Linked DNA regions of Rattus norvegicus. The protein of the gene in region 2 purifies or fractionates together with the protein of the main gene of each other region. This does not show direct contact. Links are inferred from orthologs where the notes say so. Each region holds a gene or a part of one and is shown on either strand. Other genes may lie near its edges.

Region 1 (4,684 bases), on a different chromosome or scaffold from region 2:
TCGCTTTCACCACATTTATTAAGTTTTATTTTCTAATTTCTGCCCAACATTTACTTATCCCATCAATGTTTCATGTATTACATGAATATAATTATTACATAATTAGAAACAATATATGAATGCATGTTTTCCTTCCTTTGTCCTGTCACCATTAAAAAAATTGTTTTGTATTGGCTTTTTAATTATTTCAAGAATTTCATTTTAAAATTTCTTTTACAGCTATGGTGTACAACTGTGCTTGCATAGCTATGGTGGCACTGGCTCATGCCCTTAATTCCAGCAACTGAGAGAAATAGGCAGGCAGACCTGAGTTCAAGGGCAGCCTGGGCTACAGAACAAGTTTCAGGATAGCCAGGGACATAGAGAAATTCTGTCAACAAACAAAACTACAACAAAAACCCTGCAAATGTCTGCTCTTATAAAACCTAGTGTTCTTTGCCTCACCGCTGACAGATGGCTTATTTATGTCTCCTACTTTTTTTTTTTTGGTTCTTTTTTTTTTTTTTTTTTTTTTCCGGAGCTGGGGACCAAACCCAGGGCCTTGCGCTTCCTAGGTAAGCGCTCTACCACTGAGCTAAATCCCCAGCCCCATGTCTCCTACTTTTTAGTGATTCACTTTGCCTTTGCTTTCTATGGCACCGTTCTCCCACACAGGGTCACAGCAGACACGTCCGTCCTTTGTGCTGTAATTCCCATGGGTATTTTTTTCATCTATATAAATCCCTAAGAGAAGGTTGGGAGTCCCGAGTCCAATGGATTCTGTATAAGGTTAAGAGCACTTACTGCTCTTGCAAGGGACCTAAGTCTGATTCCCAGCACAAACATGGCAGATCACAGACATCTGTAACTTCAGTTCCAGGGGACTCAATACCTTCTTCTCACCTCTATGAATATCAGGCATACACACATATACATGAAGACAAAACACCCTCACACAAAAATAAAACTTTTAATTTAAAAGTGTCTGAAGATTCCAGGTATTTATTGCTTCTGATGCTTTTCCTCTCTTCACCAGGAACTTTAACCTGCTTTAACATTTCTTCTTTAAAAGATTTGTATGTGTACTTGTGAGTGCAGTGCCTGTGGAGGCCACATGAGGGCGCCAGATCCCCTGGAGTTGGTCACAGGCGGGTCCCTGGGAATCCTCAGTAAGAGCAATTCCGGAATGCCGAGCCAACACTCCAGTCCAGTTGTATATTTCATTTATTGTTTCCAGATTTAGACACTTACTCTTTAAAAATATTTTATTTCATTATTTAGCTCTCTGGTCTTTCTGGAACGTAGTTAAAACAGACCTTTCTTCTTTTTTTTTTTTCTTTTTTTGTTCTTTTTTTCGGAACTGAGGACTGAACCCAGGGCCTAGCAAGCGCTCTACCACTGAGCTAAATCCCCAACCCCCAGACCTTTCTTCTTTATCATCTTCTAATTGGTAAATGATTCCCATTAATCTATATTCAGTTCATCTTTGCTCTATGTATCCATTCAGTTATCATAATCAACCAAAGTACTTTAATTTCAAATATATTTTAGTTGTAGAATTTCCCTGTTTGTCTGTCTGTCTGTCTGTCTGTCTCTACTTCATTCCTGAAACTTCCAAGGTTTTGACTGACCATGAGCATATACTCTTCCCTTTGGCCCAGTTTTTGTTTCCTGAAGACACTGTCTCGCTATGTAGGCCTGGCAGCCCTGGACTCAGACAATCCTTGAATTCAGAGGTCTTCCCGCCTCTGCCTCCCAGCACACTCTGCTCACAGACTCTTTATTGACTGACATTTACTGTGCTCCACTTCCCTGTCTCTCCACAGACCAGGTGACTACATGTTGTGTCCCGGACATTGTAAGCTGAGTTAGTTACAGAGAATCTAGGTTCTGTTATTTTTCCATGTTTATCTACCTTGTTTGGACAAGGGTCACAAACTCTATTGGGCCAATAGCTCTCCGCTCAGATCGTCTGACACCAGCTGAGGGTACAAATCTTTTCCTTACCACTGCCATGCTTCCTTCCAATCTGTTCTTCTCATTTCTCCACCACGAGAGTCCAACCTGCTCCAGGGTTTCAGGCTGTGGGACTACCTCTCCCGTTCCAGGTTGTAATTCTCCCTGGCTTCAGACTAATTCCCATAAGGGAACCACTCCACACCACTGCTTCGCTCTCATGTGGCTCGCCCCAGTACTCCCGCTCTGCTCATTTGATGCTCAGAGGTACTTTTTCTATTGCACCCAGAGATTATGGTGGTTATTATCTGCTAAAGGATTTAGAGACTTAAAATAAAAAAATCTATAACTATCACTGATCACTATTACAGATACCAAGAAAATAATCAACCACCTAACCTGTAAGGTCCTCACTGTACACCAAAATTTGTTATTATCATTCAGATTTTCATTTAATCAAAGTCCAAGAAAGAAATATTATTTCTTTAAACTCCAAACCCACATATCATACTTACCTGGCTCCCAAGATGTCTTTCTTGGCCAGACCTATGCCAGCTATAACCTTCACTCTCACAACTCGCGTGTCATCCTAAAATGCAAAGGGTGGTTTTACTTAAGTAATTACAAGTTATCTAATACAATGATAACCAGAATACTAAATTTGGAGAATATTTAAAAATAAGTAATCTGATTAAAAGGTATATAAAAGAAGATAAAAACAAAATTTATCATTTTTAGATACATTTGATCACACACACAAAAAGCAAAGAACTAGAGTCAAGTTATTACACACAATAAGAATTTAGCCTTAAAATTTATAAGAAAAATTTAAAGGGGGCTGGGGATTTAGCTCAGTGGTAGAGCGCTTGCCTAGGAAGCGCAAGGCCCTGGGTTCGGTCCCCAGCTCCAAAAAAAAAAGAACCAAAAAAAAAAAAAAAACTAATGACAATGGTAACTAAGGAAGTCTCCATTGTTACCACGTTCACAACATAAAATCAGAAGCTCATCATAATCATGTAATAACTACTAAGAAAAGGCAATTTTAAGTCTCATTAAAGAGTTTATAAATAACAGTGAGCGCACTATGATATGTCAAATAGCAATGACCTAGCAGGTCACAGTGGAATGAGGTCCTATGGGAGAACTTCCTTGTCTTAAAAGAGACGTCTCATCTAAGGGGAGCTGGGTGAGGAGTTGGAGGGGCGAGAATGGTCAAATTACATTGTGTATGGCTAGGTGAGGTGATGAACCACTCTAATCCCTTGGCGTCAACATGACAATAATTTAAGACCAGCTTGGTTTACAGAGTTAAGTTTCAGGCTAGTTGGGGCTATATAATGAGACCTTGCCTCAAAAGAAATCAATCAATCAATCAATCAGTCAATCAATCGTGGGGCTAAGAAATGGCTCAGTAGTAAAAAGCATCAGCTGTTCTTCCAGAGGACCTGGATTCAATTCCCAGCACCTACATGGTCACTCACAACCAACTATATGTCCAGTTCCAAGTTCTGGCTGAAGAAGCCCTCTTCTGGTCTCTATGGACACTAGGAACACACACCATATACAGACACACATACAAACAAAACATCCATACACATAAATAAAAATTTTAAAAACGTACATTGTGAAGCTCGAGATATGGATCGGCAGTGAAAAGCACGTGCTCCTCTTCCAGGGAACTCGGATTTAACTCCCAGCATCCACATGGTGGCTCACAAGTATCTGTGACATCACTTCCGGGGGATCCACCACCCTCTTCATTCTTATCCAGACAGAACTCCCATACCCGTAAAAATTAAAAAAAAATACATTATTATGAAATTCTCAACAAATTAATAAAAATATTACACTTTCTAAAGTGATACATAACAAAATATTCAGGGGAAAATGGCACAAACTCTGTAACTTATTCTCAATGGCTCAGCAAGTAAAAAGTTGGATGTGAGTCTATCTGTGCATGTGTAAAAAGGAAATGAAGGCAATGTTTCCAAGCTGTGGACTGGAGTGATACACTCTCTCTTAACTATCATACAGACTACAAATAGTTTAAATCCAAAAACTGGATTCATTTCAGCAACTGGGAAAAAATATCCCAACAAAAAGCAACTTAGCGGACTTATTTGGCTTACAAATTCCTCAGTCTGTCATGGAGGGGAAGTCAAAGCAAGAATCCAAACAGGTCTCACATCATAGCCAGTCAAGAGCAGAGACCTGCTGGCCATTAGTCAGCTTTTCTTACATTGTTTGGAATCTCTGCCTAAAAAGTCTGTAGGGCAGTTCAGTATAATGAAAACTTCCATAAACTCAGTGCACAGCCTGGTAAAACCACATTCATTCTTTTGTTTACAGACTCAGGCTAACTGGGCTGGCTAGTCTTATGTCAACTTAACACAGCTATTGCCATGAGAGAAGGAACCTCAATATAGAAAATGTCCTAAGGCTGGACTGTAAGCAAGTCTTTTTAATTAGTGATTGATGTGAGAGGGCCCAGCCCATTGTGGGCCAGGCATCGTCTGTGCTGGTAGAGCCAGGTGCCTTAAGGCAGGCTGAGCAAACAATGAAGAACAAGCCAGTAAGCAGCCTCTACATTAGCTTCTGCCTCCAGGTTGCTGACCGGTTTTGAGTTCCTGCTCTAACTCTTTCAATGACAGACTATGTGGCCAGTGTAAGTTAAAAGCCTTTTCCTCCCCAACTTGCTGTTGGTCAGTGTCTCTTCAGACAATAACTAAGACACTAAGTGAGAATAAGT
Region 2 (5,424 bases):
AAGAAAAGAAAAGGAAAGAAAAGGAAAGTGACTGGTCCCAAGTTTTGGCACCAGATAAATGAAAAAATGAAAGGAACAAATGTGACTGTGCCTAGGTTTGGTGGAGGAAGCTTACTTTAGATAAAAGGGAGCCGGAGACATCCAAGAGAATCCAGAGTGAACATGACCCTGAGCCATGTGAAGAGAGGGGAACCAGGTACAGCAGCCAGGAAGCCCAAAAGAGAGTGGGGTAACCAAGATGGCTACTTGGGGGAAGGGCAGCCCAGGCCCTGAGCTGAGTTCAGGGTAGGGGGCCTGCCAGTAGGAACACCAGCCAGTAGGACCCTGTAAAAGGTAGGGACTGAGGGATGCTGGGAGAACCTGGTGACAAGGTCCATCTTAATATGTTAAGTATGGGAGGCTGGAGAGATGGCTCATCAGTTAAGAGCACCGACCGCTCTTCCAGAGGTCCTGAATTCAATTCCCAGCAACCACATGGTGGCTCACAACCATCTGTAAAGAGATCCGATGCCCTCTTCTGGTGTATCTGAAGACAGCTACAGCGTACTTATATATAATAAATGAATAAATCTTAAAAAAAAATGTTAAGTAGGCACTGCAGCCTTGCATTTGAGTTTGAAACCTAATGTGTACCACCATACCCAGCCCTCTTCCCCTTTTGTTGACAAGAATCAGATTAAGTTCTGGATCATGCCCCACCACCTAGCCAAGACGTCAGTTATTTGAACACAGATTATTTTATGTTTTAGCCCTTTGACTCCCCTAAATGCATGGGGTATCGGAGGCACCCAGGTTTTGCATATCATGGCTTCTACCACAAAGTGATTTGATCTTCCATTGAGGAACATTTTGCTAACTGTTCTAGTAACTGCCACTCCACTTTGTTTCCTTCATGTTTAACCAGGAAGCAGGGCCCCTGAGGCATCTCTGTCCTAGACTAGTACAAACTGACCCTGCCATTGTTGCTCCACTCTCATGGGTATATATTCCCATCGATTTCTGAAGTCAAAGTGAAAAATAGAAAATACTGGTAAGTTGAGACCCCATGTTAAAAAATGGCCTCAGGACAGTCATGTCAACTTACAATGGGTGACATTATCTAATACAAATCTAATACATTATATATGTATGCTTGTAGTTTAGGGGAACAGGCCTTGATTGAGCTAAACAAGTGCTGTGTCACTGAGCCACACCCCTCCACAATGACCATCTTGTAAGGCAGTGCTGACTATCTCATATAATTTAATACAATACCAAAAGGAGAACACCAGGATTGCTTAAATCGACTTTCACACTATAGTAAGATAGAACAATAAATTGTGAACATATGAATTTAAGACCTTCCTTCCAGTTCACAACCAACACCAAGACCTTTTTTAAAAATGTGATTCAGGCCGGTGGTGGTGGCACAAGCAATTATGCCAGCATTCGGACCGCAGGGCAGGGCAGAGCTCTCTAAGTTCGAAGCCAGTTTGGTCAACAGAGCGCGTTCCAGGGATACACCCTGTCTTAGGGAAAAATGTGATTCAGAATCTGTCCCTTCTCTGTTCGTGCCTTCTCGCTCCATGTCCCAAGTTTTGCAGGGGTCTCGTGTTTCTGCCCTGCGCTCTCCCAGCTCAGCGCCGGTGTTCTGGGCCGCGATTGCCCACTACTCCTCGGGAAGCCTGATGAAGGTCGCGGTACACAAAGCACGATGGCCGCGGGGCATAACTGGGGACCCACACCGCCTGAGGGCCGAGCACCTCTCGTAGCCACCTAGCGTTGAACATGGGTGCCCGGGAACCCGCTTTCGCTTACAGGTGAGCAATCCTCATCCCTGAGCACCAGAGGTCTCAAGGATCCCGTTAGGGTCTAAAGCGTAGGGGCCGCGCACTCCGTAGCCCACCCCGCTAGTCTGGGCGGGCCTTCGGGGTAGGGCAGGAGCATGACTGGCCTGTTGTGACCAGGTGCTTGTGTTCAATGAGGCAAATCTAGGAAAATGGGCGGGTCCTTGTGGAGGCGTGTCCCCCATCCATGGGCGTGTCCTCCGGTCGCAGACCAGCCCTGGAGAAGGCGGGCCTTGGATCAGAAAGGGGTGGGTCTTTGGGATGAGGGTGGGTCTTGGGGGGCACCGGCTAGTATTCCGGCCCAGGCGGGTCCTGCGGCCTGGGCGTGTCCTCTGTTGGGGAAGGGGAGGGGGGCGGGCCACGAAGCCACTGCCCTAGCAGGCGTCAGACCGCGGCGCGGGAGACCGCGGTATGGGGAGGGTGCAGCTCTTCGAGATCCGCCTGAGTCAGGGCCGCGTCGTCTACAGTCCTGGGGAGCCGCTGGCTGGGGCCGTGCACTTGCGCCTGGGAGCGCCACTACCCTTCCGAGGTGGGCGCGGGATCGCTTCGGGGGAAGTGGGTAGACGCGTTCTTACCTGCGGTGGGGCGGGGCTCTCGGAAACCGTGCGGTCAGTGGGCTCTGAGACTGGATTCTCAGTCTCCAGGAAGCCCCGGGTTACGACGGAACCGCGGGCGCCAGGGACAGGCTGTTCTAGGAGGCCCACAGAGGGCAGGGTGGGGCAGACAGCTCGGTGGCCCAGTCCTTCCGCATCTGTCCCGTCCTGTGCTCTCCGCCTAGGCGGCCAGAAGTCTGTGCGAGGGCCTAAGTGCTTGTTCACTATACTCAGGCAACCCTGGCGGTAGAAGCATGCAGGCCTTTAGTCTTCCCTTATTCAGTTGTCCAAGGTCCAAGGCACTTTACACCTGCTGGGTCCCTACCGGGAACCTAGTGTGCTCTGGGTCCTCTCTTTTCCTTGTCTCCAGGCTCTTATGCAGTACTTTCTTCAAAGACAGTTCTGGTCCAAGTGTGCAGGTTTCTATCAGGATCCACCTTCTTGCTTTCAGCTTAAAGATTATAGTTGCTGGCAAGGGGCCCTGTTCCACCGGGCAATCCCCTTTCTCCTGTCCTAAGGCCTTATGGGAGCTGAGCTGAGACCTTTGCTGATGCATAGATCTGAGACTGGGACTGGGGATCAGGTTGCTGCTTTGCCATTGACAGGGCATTCTCAGGTGCAGGCTCCTTGGTGCTGGATCCACGAATAGGGGGCCCTGTATGGGATTTGATGACTGAGCTCTCTGGGGTCAGTGGGCACTGTTGTGGCCTCTGTCTGGCACTGACTGCAAGATTATGTGGGTGTCCCTTACTCCTACACTCTCTCAGCCTACTCTGTTTTTCGTAGATCAGCTGTTTTTACAGGACCCCAAGAGGTAGCAACCCTTGTTAGTGTGTAGTACAGTTGGAAGCAGGACGAGCACAGATTTAATGGTAGAATGTATTATCTGGTGGGGATGGTCAGGTTCAAGATCTTTGGAACTGAAAGAATGGAAAGGTCTTCATTATCGTGGCCCATGGTAAGAAGCTGCTGGAAGCTAGAAGTACCAACGAGGGAAGAAGTGTCTCTGTAGAACAAAATACACACCATGATTTTCTTTAGAAAACCAGAGCTGCTATAAGGTGGAGCATGCCTTCAATCCCAGCACTTTGGGAGGCAGGTGCAGGTGGATCTCTGTGAGTTCAAGGCCAGCCTGGTCTACAGAGCTAGTTCCAGAATACCTAGGGCTACACAGAGAAACCCTGTCTCAAAAACAAAACAGCAACAGAAGAGCAGCCTCCAGTCTCCAACGGTGAACACCTGCTAGTTTGGTGGCTCCTAGTCAATTCGGTGAGTGGTGGCTGCCTTTTATTATAGCTAGAACACTGTTAGGAAGTGTACTTTATACTCGAATGACACCTTAAGGTATATATTGTTCTGTAGGCTGCCACTTGATGCTCTGTAGATGAGGATTTGCTAGAATACACTTGCCCTGGTTTCCTGGTTATGCTATGTTGCAAGGTATGAGAGGACCATGGTTGCTTCCCAGATACCTTTGCATGAGAGTGGAGGGGTAGGACTGTAGAGAGATTACTGAAAAGCAGCATAACATTATTTTAAAAGAGCCATGTCCAGTGGCTTGCAGCAACAGCAGTAGGAAGAGGAGCAGCAGAAGCAGAGTGACCACCTAGTATTCTCAGAACTCCCTCATTTCTCACGATTTATGTAGCCTTATGTAGTGCATGGTTTTTCTGCTCCAGTGATTGGAGAAGGTACATGCCTGGCTGCTGGCATTGTCCTTGGCCAGTGAGCATGGTTCTTGGAGGAATTTTTCTGGGGAAATTTTTACACCTTGATTGTGATGCTACTGAGGCAAAGGAGAAGCTCCGAATGTTTTTTGAGGAAGCAGAGGACATACTGTTTGCAAGCCCTTTTCCTCAGTCACTTCTCAAGAGAGTAAGTGACACAGGGTATGTTCACCTCAGGGGCTAGAGGATGTCCACACTGGCAGGGTCTTCCCAAGAGCCCTGTAGTGTGGGAAATGCCCAGCATTGGGAAGATCAGAGTTGCATCCCCCTACTCCCAGTTTGCATGTGGCTTGTTTTCCTGGAATCTGGTGGTCTCATGCTCCTTTGCCTGAACTGTAGGAGGTCCAGACTGGGCTGATTGTTGTTCTAGGCAATGCTATATGAGACTCCTGTTGAATAGTATAGGACTGGAGACCTGACGGGTGTCCTGGCATGTACAGGTGCAAACACAGAGGTTGGCCCTGTGTCACTGTGTGGCTTCTCCATTCCCTCCCCAGTATGAGTCAAAGTACTTAGCAGTTGTCATTCTGACCAGGAAACATGTAAGTCACCTGGGTTTCCCCTGGTTTCTGGTGCGGCTGGTGCTGGTTCCAGTTATCTATTGCTACAAAAGGTCATTCAAATAACAAACCACCCTGCACTAAACGCTAAAGCAACCAGTTTGCTATTGCTCCTACATCAAGTGTGAAGACTTCGAATAGCACCCACCGTGCCAGTTATTGTAGGCACCCTCATAGCACCATGGCAGCACCTGGACTAAACTAAGCCCTGCAGATGGATGTTTTCCGTACCTGTGTGGGGCCAGTCACCCTTAGAGAGATGTTCCCTTTGTGAAGCATCTTCAGTCCTTTAGCAGACCTTTGAACCTCCTCTTATCCCTGTCATCTCAAGAATTATTTCCTGGCCTAAGCTGCCACTAGTGTTTAGATGGCAGAAGGAGTGCGTGCATTTCTTTCTTTCTTTTTTTTTTTTTTTTTTTTTTTTTGGTTCTTTTTTTCGGAGCTGGGGACCGAACCCAGGGCCTTGCGCTTCCTAGGCAAGCGCTCTACCACTGAGCTAAATCCCCAGCCCGAGTGCGTGCATTTCAAACCAGGTTGGAGGTTAGAGTTGTGAGGTTGGGCTGACATGGAGGGTGACAGACAGACACTGGCATTTCCAAGGACAGAGAGTAGTACAGCAGGAATGCAGAACAGTCTCAACAGTAGGGACAGGCACTGGCAGCCATCAGGTGAGGGAGTGTTAGCCTGTTAACGGTTCTCTATAGGCTCTGCCCAACAG
Region 3 (4,684 bases), on a different chromosome or scaffold from region 2:
TGCATCCCTAGTTCCCCAAATGTCTTCCTCTCTGTGTTGGCATGCTTAAAAATAAACTACATCTCTCTTCATTAATTAACCTCATCCAAACTGATGAGAAATTTAATCCACTGAAAATCACCAACCCCTTCTCCTTTCTCCTTTCCATTGAGACAAATGCAGTGGTTATAGCTATGTGCCACCATGCTCACTCAGAAAATAATCTTTGTTATTGTCTGAGTTGAATTTTCTTTTTATGTCAACTATTTTCCATTTTGACATTATATTAAGATGAATTTAATATCTATCTCCCCATATTGTCAGGCCCAAGATATCCCCAAAGCATCTTTCTCTGACATGCTGCTACAGCGATGTTAAATGAATAAAAAATATAAAACATTAACAAATTCTATACCTTTTTTTTAGATCGAGGTCTGGGCTGCTCCTCATATTCTTCCCCAAAAACTGGTGGTAATAAAAACTCATTTTCCATATCAAGTTCCTCTGCAGCTGACAAATTAGAAAATATCTTACTTCAAATATAACAGTACAAGATTCTGCTACATAAACACGGCCAATAAAGAGTCCCGTGACATGAAGGATCATCCAGACATGGGGTAAGTCTCAGCGAGGCGAGGCACAGGGAGACTCATACTTAACATGGTGTTGAGTTTTGCTAAACTATTTGATAAACTAAAAACCAAATGTAGCAAGTATCAATCAGTACAGAAGCATCACAGAACTGTATGATACTAGAAAAAGGAAAACAACTATAAAACTAGTTAGAAGATCTAAAAGTGCCAATCTTGTTCAATCTCTTGTCTTTTTCGTAGAATGCTTTACACTTCATTCAGTAGGAATTTATAAATTAGGGGAAAATGAGAACAGGAACACATTTGTCTGTCTGTGGCCTGGAACCTACTTTACAGAGTCTACACTTCACAACCCTCCTACCTTAGCAACAGGACTGCAGGAATGTACTATCACAAGGCTTTCAAACACTTGTCTTTTTTGAGACGGACCCTTATTAATTAAATCAGACTGACCTCACAACCTGACAGTAGCTGCCCTTAACTTAAGTTCTGCCCCCGTCTCCCAGGGCTGGGACTGTAGAGCATGCCAAGCTATCCGGACGGACGAGACGGAAGACGTCTACACTTCATCTGCACTAACCAGCAGCGAAAGGGAGCGTGTCGCTCTCTTTTTTTATTTTAAAGATTTACTTTATGTATGAGACGGAAGACGTCTACACTTCATCTGCACTAACCAGCAGCGAAAGGGAGCGTGTCGCTCTCTTTTTTTATTTTAAAGATTTACTTTATGTATGAGTGCACTGCCACTGTCCTCAGACACACCAGAAGAGGGCATCAGATCTGATTACAGATGGTTGTGAGCCACCATGTGGTTGCTGGGATTTGAACTCAGGACCTCTGGAAGAGCAGTCAGTGCTCTTAACCACTGAGCCATCTCTCCAGCCCTGAGCATACATCTGTTAAAGAAGTAAATGTATTTCTTTTCCTTTAAATATGAATTTAACTTTCAAGAACATTAAGAAAAATGCTACCAAGCTATACATTTGACACGTACCTATAATCCCAGCATGAGAGGCTGGGAGAAGGCATGCTTTGAGTTGGGGGCCAGTCTGAATTATATAGCAAAACCCTATCATGATTCCTACCTCTACGCTAATACTATCAATACCTCTGAATTGAAAAAATACAAGTATTGTATTCTTCTCTAGTTTCTAAAGTTCCTGCAATTAATTCAGTTTTATTTGGAGAAATAAAAAAGAAAAGGAGGAAGAATGTAGCTAAGTGGAAAAGTACATGCAGCATCCTCCACTACAAAGGACACACGGAAAAAAGAAACAATTATGAGGATAAGAGGTAATTTTACTAACACTGTTGATCAATTACCTTAAATACAACCATATAACTTGATTTAATAATGATAAAGTAGTATTTAAGTACCTCTGGGGAAATCTATTTCAATATCCAAATCTGGTTCATATGGTACATCGGGCATGTTGGATTGTATATCTGAGTCAGAGTTCTTTGTAAGATCTGAGCCAATTATGTCTGTCTCAATAATTACACCTGTAACCAAGCAATAATATCATTAGAAATCAAATTAAAAAAAAAAAACTTAATAGTATCTGTACTTAAGCTCCCAAAGGAAAAAGTAGAAAAGTTAATATAAAACAACTCCCGTGTGTGTGTGTGTGTGTGTGTGTGTGTGTGTGTGTGTGTGTGTGTGTGTGTGTGTGTGTGTGGTGGGGGTGGGGAGGACACATACATTACTTGCCAGTGTGATGTAAGTGCTTCCAGACAGGAATGCATGTGGAGACCAGAGGCTGACCAGAGTCCTGTGTTTTTCTTTGTTTGATGGATCCATCTTCCCTTCCTAATCTGTCAATTCACACTAGGGTTAGACACAAGCCACTGTGCCTGATCTTTTAAATAGGTTCGGAGGATCCAAATTCAGGTTCTCATCTCATTCTTATATGGCAGGCACTTTACTGAGTGGGCCATTTCCCCATGTCAATATTCATAAAACAATTCTTTATCAGAAATAAACTTATGGAAATAAACAACTATGGTTTTCAAACAGTATTTTTGAATTTTGACCAAGTTTACACATACTTAGTATATGCTTGTTAATAGCTACCATATGTTTCGATGAACTGTTTAACTGTTTTGCCGTAGTTATAAATGCATTCTATCTAATATATACTAGAATGACAATAGGTCTCCAGACAGAAATTAAGACAAACGTATATAATTAGGAAACAAAGGCGTTCACAAACCCACCTAACTCTTCTCTGAAGGATTCAGACATGGCTTCCCATTCTTTTTCCCATGAGGTATGTAGTGTCATATACTGGACACACCTAGAACTCACGTTCCAACACCTGAGCGCAGGGACTAAGTGGGTGTCTGTATTTTATTCTTAATTAAAAATGAACACCACACTAGGTGGTGGTGGCACATGCCTCTAACCCCAGCACTTGGGAAGTAGAGACAAAGGGATCTCTATGAGATCCAGGCCAGCCTAGTCTACAGCACTAATTCCAGGACAGCCAAGATTAGACAAAGAAACCCTGTCTCAAAAAACAAACAAACAAACAAACAACAACAAAAATCATACCACTAAGTACAATCCACTTCATTTGACAACCTCTGAGAATACTGCAAAACAACTTCTACACTTTTCTTCTGGTATAAAAGCAATTAGACAGTTCAGGACTAAAAATGGATTCTAAATATTACCAGAAGACTACGGATAGGAAGGAATAAATGTTCAAAAGGACAGAGTTGCCCAACAAAACACTCATATTAAATCACACCACTATGTAGCAGTGTCCTAAAAGAAAGTAGGAAAAATTCTGGTTTAGATAAATATAATATAAATATAATAAAGCAAATTATATTTGATTAGTATAAAAAATAAAATATTACTAGAAATAACGATCACAAAATAAAATCTTAGAAACCTAAGAAAAATAACTGAACTGAATTCAAATCCTATTACTATTAAAACAAAACAAAATAAAAAAATAGGGAGTGAGTGAATTAGAAGCAATGGCTGCTCTTGCAAAGGACCAAAGTTCAGTTCCCAGCCCTTACATGGTGGCTCATAATCTATAACTCCATTTTCAAAGGATATAATGCTCTATCTTCTGAACTCCACAAGTGCCAGGCATACACACATGCAACTCTCAAACACATAAAGAAATCTTACCAAAACAAACAAACAAACAAACCCACCCAACTTTTGTTTCTAAGAAAAGGTAATCTTATCTACTTCAGAAGATGACACTGAAGACTTCTTGAGGCCAAGAGTTTATTGCCTCGGACACATTCTAAGTCTCCATCTCAAAATAAAACAAAATATTCCACTAGAGATCAAGCTTAGCATTAGAGCAAACCTGGTTCAAGTTGGAGTGTGTATTCCTCTTTATTAAAAAATTGTGTTGTTTTATGTGTACAGGTATTGTACATGTATGTATATCTGTGCACCACTTGCATGTCTTATGCCTGTGAAGGCCAGAAGAGGGCAGGGGAATCTCTGGAACTGGAATTAAAGAAAGATATGTGGGTGCTGGGAACCAGATCCAGGTCTTCTGCAAGAGTAACTAGTACTCTTAACCACTGAGGCAAAGTGTGTTATTTCTTAATATAAAATATTTCTGCTATAATCCTTTTTCCTGCTACAGGATATGCCTTTAAGTATTGTAAAGATGACAATACATAGACCCCGTCCCCCAAACCTCTTGCTGACAAACTGAATAGTGTAGCTTACTGTTGATATTAGATGCCTCTGTTTTCCCCTCCTCTTCAGTCATCATATCCGTCATTGTAAGCAATTCTGTATCAAGAGGATCTGAAGACACTTTGCTTTTGAGGTCCTCAACTGAGGCAGGAATCTTCTCACTGTTCTCCAATGGAGCAGGCAAAAACACAGGAACGGGCACCTAACCAAAGCATTGTTAATATTAGGCAAACTAAACAATACAAGCTAGTTTCTGAAATTAGATGCATGACCTACTACTATATAAATACATTATTGAAGAAAGTCTTTAGCAAGACTAAATATCAAAACTAAGAAGCCTACCATGACAAGAAAATCCCAGAATACAAATACTTTAAAAATAAAATTAAGAGAAAAGAAGTCAAGCTCAAACATAGTATTTTAAATATTACAT
Region 4 (5,307 bases), on a different chromosome or scaffold from region 2:
TATTTGCAAGTACGATAGTTGTGTTAGTGGAAAACATGAACACCATGATGACCCATCCTGGTCTCAACCTGACACATCTGGGAAGAGGGTTAGGGGGTTCTGTTGCTGCAAGGAAACACCATGACCAAAAGCAAGTTGGGTAGGAAAGGGTTAATTCGGCTTACACATCTGTTTTGTAGTACATCATGAGTAGGGTAGGAGCCTGGATGCAGGAGATCATGGAAGGCTTGCTCCTCCTGGCTTGCTCAGCCTGCTTTCTTATCCTAGAGTCACCAGCCTAGGGATATTGTATCAATTACTAATTAAGAAAATGCCCTACATCTGGGTTTCATGGAGGCATTCTCTCAATTGTGGTTCACTCCTTTCAGATGACTCTAGCCTGTGTCAAGTTAACAAAACCTAGCCAAGACAGGAACCTAAATTGCTAAATTGCTTCCATCAAATTGGCCTTTGGACATACCTGTGGGGCATTTTCTTGGTTGCCAATTGATGTAGAAGGGTCAAGTACACTATGGGCAGCTTCACCCCTAGGCAGATTGACCAGTGTCATGGAAAAAGTACAGGTCACCATGAGCCAGGGAACAAGCTAGGAGCCAGCATTTCTCCCCGGTCTCTGATTCTTTCGGTTTCTGCCTCCACATTCCTGCTTGAGTTTCTGTCCTGGCTTCCCTTGATGATGGACTGAAAACTGTAAGCTGAAGTGAACCCCCTTTCCTTCCCTTTTTGTCATGGTATGATGTTATCATCACAACAGAAAGCCATCAGGACATGAATTTCACCCAAACTATGAAATGGATGGGGAAACAAGAGAAGATGGGGAGCCCTTTCTCCCCCTTTTTTTGCTCGCAGACTCAGTATCCAAGGTTCATGGCTGTGTTACAATTAGGACACTGGCGAGTATTAGTTTGCTTTGAAGTAGAATGTCATGCCAACTTTTCAGGAGTCAATAGTTTAGCTTCAAAGAAAACATTCAAAAGATTGCAACAGTCTGAGTGCACAGATTAGGTGTTAAAGCCTGTTTTTGTTGGAAAGCAGTGTGGGAGAAAAGCAGATTTACTCTAGTATTCGCTCTGGGTGAGGTAACCCATGGGCAAGGCGGAGTTAATTACCAGGAGACAGAACCTCACAGGCACTGGGCAAAAGGACAGATGTCTTAGAAAGAGTCCCATAAGCAGTGTAATAGCAGGGGACTCACAGTGAGCAAGTGAGGCTGGATACAAGGCTCGACAGGGCAAGTCTGTTCCTTTCTGGAGACCAAATGGATGCTAAAGGCCAGCGCCCATCATGATCTAGGTGGTAGGAATAGTTTGTGCCGTTGGGAGCTTCAGGGTAACAAGAAGCAGGCTCAGAAGAGAGCATGGAGATGTGAGTCATGCCGCAGTCTCTGGGGTAAAGGTGCTAGCTTTTCCTGTCTGTCCAGTTAACAGATATGGGTCCCACCTGCTGCATTCCCAGTGCCACTGTACGTACTGGGGATAAAATAGTGACAAAACATGAAACTCACTGCTTTGGCGAAACCCCCGTGCGTATTAGGGGGAATGGACAATGGGTAAGAGAGTGCTCATATGGCAAACCAGACCTTACGGAGAAACAGAAAGGTTGACTTCCAGGATGTTGTCATTCTGCATATAATGGTCCCTCTATTTTTAAGTGCAGAGGTGGCATTTGAGCAAGGTCCTGAAACTGTGGCCAGAGAGCTACGTTCCGCTCGGCAGGAGAACTGAAGCAATGGGCAGTACCTCAGAAGGAATCATCAACTGTGTTTGACATGTATCTTGCTGGTTGAAAGCGTAGTTGCAGGAGATAAATAGCACATGTGGGACAGGAAGGGGAAAGAGGGTGGTGGACTATGTGGGAATGCAGATCTAAGAGGGATCTATAGAAAAGCCCCTCCCCCTTACTTTCTTGGAAAAGCTATGCCAAGGGAAACCGGGGGCCAGAGGTATATGACAGTCATCTTGTGATCGCTGTCCTAGAAATTTTTTCTGATATTATCAGGTGAGTATAGGATGGTGTCTTTTATTTCCACAGCAGATTATTGTATGTTGAGGTTGTGATAAACTCTCCTTCAGGCTTTCTATCTGGGATGTTTGATTCTAACTCCTCACCTTTTTGCGCTAATATTTTATGCTTGTCGGTCTCTTGCAGCTTTGTAGGAAAACAACCTCAGAGAGGCAGACAGGATGGCAAGCTCAGCCCGGGAGCATTTGCTTTTTGTGCGGCGTCGAAATCCACAGATGCGGTACACACTGAGCCCAGAGAACCTTCAGAGCCTCGCAACCCAGAACTCAATGCCCGAGAACATGGCCCTGCAGCGAGCCAACAGTGACACCGACCTCGTGACCTCCGAGAGCCGCTCCAGCCTGACTGCCAGCATGTATGAGTACACACTGGGGCAAGCCCAGAACCTCATTATCTTCTGGGACATTAAGGAAGAGGTTGACCCCAGCGATTGGATCGGACTCTATCACATAGGTGAGTCGGGTGAAGGCTTGCGTGTGGCTCGGCACGGCTTTCAACTCTGAAATGGTAATGTTCTGTGTTTTCTCCTGCTGTAAAAGGAAGCAAACTTTTTCACACAAATAGACAAAGCTGATTCTGGACGTGTTCTTCGTTCCTTGGGAGGAGAGTTCCTTTACTTATATGCATCTTGTGGTTCTATTTCTACTGAATTAAATGTCAGCCCCTGTGTGCACCACTGGATTTTCTCTTCAGTTTCTCGCTGGTCTTGAGACAAAGTTATGACTTGGAAAGAGGAGTGGGGGTTATTAACACCAGTGAACACTGTTAAACTAATACGGAAACAGTTTGCATTTTCTAAAGGTTGATTTCACTTAAAATAATCTGCAGCCTGGGTATCTTTTTATAAATGGGAATCATTGCCTATTTGTTTTGATAAAACAGTCCCAGTTTTGCTTAACTATATTCAAATCTGTTATTCATATCTGAATGAATGGTGACTGACACTTCCCAGAAAATACAAGTTAGTATTATTTGAATGCAAGCACCATACCTACCAATTAATCTTAAATACGTTTTCAATCTAACATAATAATAAAATCCAGCATTACTTAAAGTTGGAAAATTTTGTCTCCAAATGAAGAAAATTACTTTATAATTAATATCTGATATTGATTTCAATGTAAGCATCTTGTTTCGGTTGCATACTTGTAAACAAGGAGTCCTGTGTTGATACCCTTACAACTAAAGCTTTTTACATAAGGCTCATTTTGCCCCCTAGAGGACACTCGCGGTGTGTGGAGGGATTTTTGATGGCTGTATTTTTTTCTCTGTAGTGGGATTAGAACACAGCATTGCATGTACAGGAGAGCTCTTCTGCCCCAGGAGTCCCCTGTCCAACTTTGAAAACCCTGATTTAAGGCAAGCCTACATCCTTGCTGAACTTCTGTTAGGATATTAAACCTACTGAAACTGGAGTTCTTTGGGGACTAAGAATTTTCTTTTAAAGAGGTTATCCGTTATATTAACTTTGTAACTCTCAATGATTAATCATGCTGGATAGTAAGAAAAAAATCCAAAATAGAAACAATTTCAATGAATTAGTAACTTTCTTGTTTTCCCTCTTATGATAACAAAGAGTAGTAGGGAAAAGTCTTTAAAGTTGTTTATTTTCTTTGGGTGTATTTAAGTACATAGTAGAGTGAGGAAGGCATACAATTTAAAGTCCTTGTCTATATTATTGTGACTGTGAAAGAGCTTATAGTTTTGTGGGATGTCAGTCTCCTTTGGGCTCCATAACATTTGTTTTTACTTTTCTTAACTTTCTTTTTTTCTTTTACATTTTAGATTTTATAAGCAAAAAAATCCTTAAATCTCCCTATGATATTGCAAATAGAAAATGGTGATTTAAAATATTTTATATGATGTTTCTTGGGAAAATAGTTAAATTTTACTTTCTCATATAAGATTAATTTTACATACGTGACTGACAGTCTTAGTGCTAGAATCATACGGCCATTAATTCGGGATTATGTACTATTTTCTCATGCTTTCTTATTGTTCATCCCCTCAAACTGTTACATTTTCCTGTCTAATTGGGATAAGTAAGGGACAAAAACATAGGTTTCATGTTCTGTGTTTTACCTGCTGAGGAAGGAGTGTGTGTCAGAGTTAATGAAGACCTGAACTAGGAAAGCAGGGGTGGGAAGAGAATCTCTTATGAGTGTTAGCTCTTTTTAAAGAAGCTCCTGTACCTTCTCACACAAATCACCCTTGTTCTTTACATTGGTTTCCATTAGTGTGACTATAACACGTTTATATTTAATTTTCTTTTTTTTTTTCCGGGAGCTGAGGACCAAACCCAGGGCCTTGCACTTGCTAGGCAAGCGCTCTACCACTGAGCTAAATCCCCAACCCCTATATTTAATTTTCACTTTAGTTATGTTGGCTGGAATATGTAAAATTTATGTTAATAAAGCTTTTGATGAATTTGGGAAACTTTGCTACTTTTTCTTCTATTTTTCTTTCTTCTTTTTCTTTTCTTTTCTTTTCTTTTTTTTTTTGAAACAGGGTTTCTCTGTGTATTCCTATCTGTCCTGGAACTAACTCTGTAGACCAGGCTAGTCTCAAACTCATAGAGATCTGGTTCCACTGCCTCCTGAGTGCTGGGATCAAAGGTATGTGCCACCAATGCCTGACTCCATTTTTTTCCTTAATGTGAGTTTTAAAAAACTATTACTTTTTACTGAGACCTATATTATATTATTTCACATTGTTCTACAAGGTATTTGTGGGTTTTGATCCATTTTTTATCCATCTATTTTCTCCATGATATTCACATTTCCTAGTTTATTCTTCTCTGTCTTTCTCCTCTTCCTTTTCCTCCTTCACACAGACACGCAGAGACATGCGCGTGCGCGCGCGCGCGCACACACACACACACACACACACACACACACACACACACACACACGAGCATTAGAAACAGGGTCTCTTGTGTTCCAGGGTTGCCTGACATTGCTATGTAGCTGAGGATGACCTTGAATTCCTGATTCTTTTTCATTTACCTCCCAAGTGCTGAGGTGATAGGAGTAGACCACCACACCAGCTCTGTTTGTCCTCAAGTTTATTAGCCTTTCCCCCTTTTCTTTATACTGAGCCAGTCCCACTTGGTGGATTTTAAATTTTCAGGTAGTTAACTGTTTTTTTAAAAAGATTTATTTATTAACTATATATGAGCACACTGTAGCTCTCTTCAGACACTCCAAATGAGAGAGTCAGATCTCATTACAGATGGTTGTGAGTCACCACACAGTTGCTGGGATTTGAACTCAGGACCTCAGGAAG

What was found.
Region 1: the proteins of Arrdc1 (region 2) and Nedd4 purify together in Homo sapiens (affinity purification with mass spectrometry; 3 studies listed by BioGRID and IntAct, counting the BioPlex papers as one, with this or other methods). This does not show direct contact. The link is inferred for Rattus norvegicus from reciprocal best matches to the Homo sapiens genes ARRDC1 and NEDD4.
Region 3: the proteins of Arrdc1 (region 2) and Zmym2 purify together in Homo sapiens (affinity purification with mass spectrometry; 3 studies listed by BioGRID and IntAct, counting the BioPlex papers as one, with this or other methods). This does not show direct contact. The link is inferred for Rattus norvegicus from reciprocal best matches to the Homo sapiens genes ARRDC1 and ZMYM2.
Region 4: the proteins of Arrdc1 (region 2) and Hecw2 purify together in Homo sapiens (affinity purification with mass spectrometry; 3 studies listed by BioGRID and IntAct, counting the BioPlex papers as one, with this or other methods). This does not show direct contact. The link is inferred for Rattus norvegicus from reciprocal best matches to the Homo sapiens genes ARRDC1 and HECW2.

What each region holds. Positions count from the first base shown.
Region 1 is NC_086026.1:82,270,512-82,275,195, reverse strand, and holds part of Nedd4 (E3 ubiquitin-protein ligase NEDD4), read right to left. Parts: intron 3,723-4,684; coding exon of another isoform or gene 3,722-3,722; coding exon 3,557-3,721; intron 2,525-3,556; coding exon 2,451-2,524; intron 1-2,450. UniProt on the Homo sapiens protein: E3 ubiquitin-protein ligase which accepts ubiquitin from an E2 ubiquitin-conjugating enzyme in the form of a thioester and then directly transfers the ubiquitin to targeted substrates. Specifically ubiquitinates 'Lys-63' in target proteins.
Region 2 is NC_086021.1:28,137,047-28,142,470, reverse strand, and holds the start of Arrdc1 (arrestin domain-containing protein 1), read left to right. Parts: upstream 1-2,223; 5' UTR 2,224-2,237; coding exon 2,238-2,355; intron 2,356-2,401; exon of another isoform or gene 2,402-2,998; intron 2,999-5,424. UniProt on the Homo sapiens protein: Functions as an adapter recruiting ubiquitin-protein ligases to their specific substrates. Through an ubiquitination-dependent mechanism plays for instance a role in the incorporation of SLC11A2 into extracellular vesicles.
Region 3 is NC_086033.1:35,206,135-35,210,818, reverse strand, and holds part of Zmym2 (zinc finger MYM-type protein 2), read right to left. Parts: intron 4,454-4,684; coding exon 4,282-4,453; intron 2,076-4,281; coding exon 1,950-2,075; intron 490-1,949; coding exon 395-489; intron 1-394. UniProt on the Homo sapiens protein: Involved in the negative regulation of transcription.
Region 4 is NC_086027.1:63,071,596-63,076,902, reverse strand, and holds the start of Hecw2 (E3 ubiquitin-protein ligase HECW2), read left to right. Parts: upstream 1-2,144; 5' UTR 2,145-2,183; coding exon 2,184-2,475; intron 2,476-5,307. UniProt on the Homo sapiens protein: E3 ubiquitin-protein ligase that mediates ubiquitination of TP73. Acts to stabilize TP73 and enhance activation of transcription by TP73. Involved in the regulation of mitotic metaphase/anaphase transition.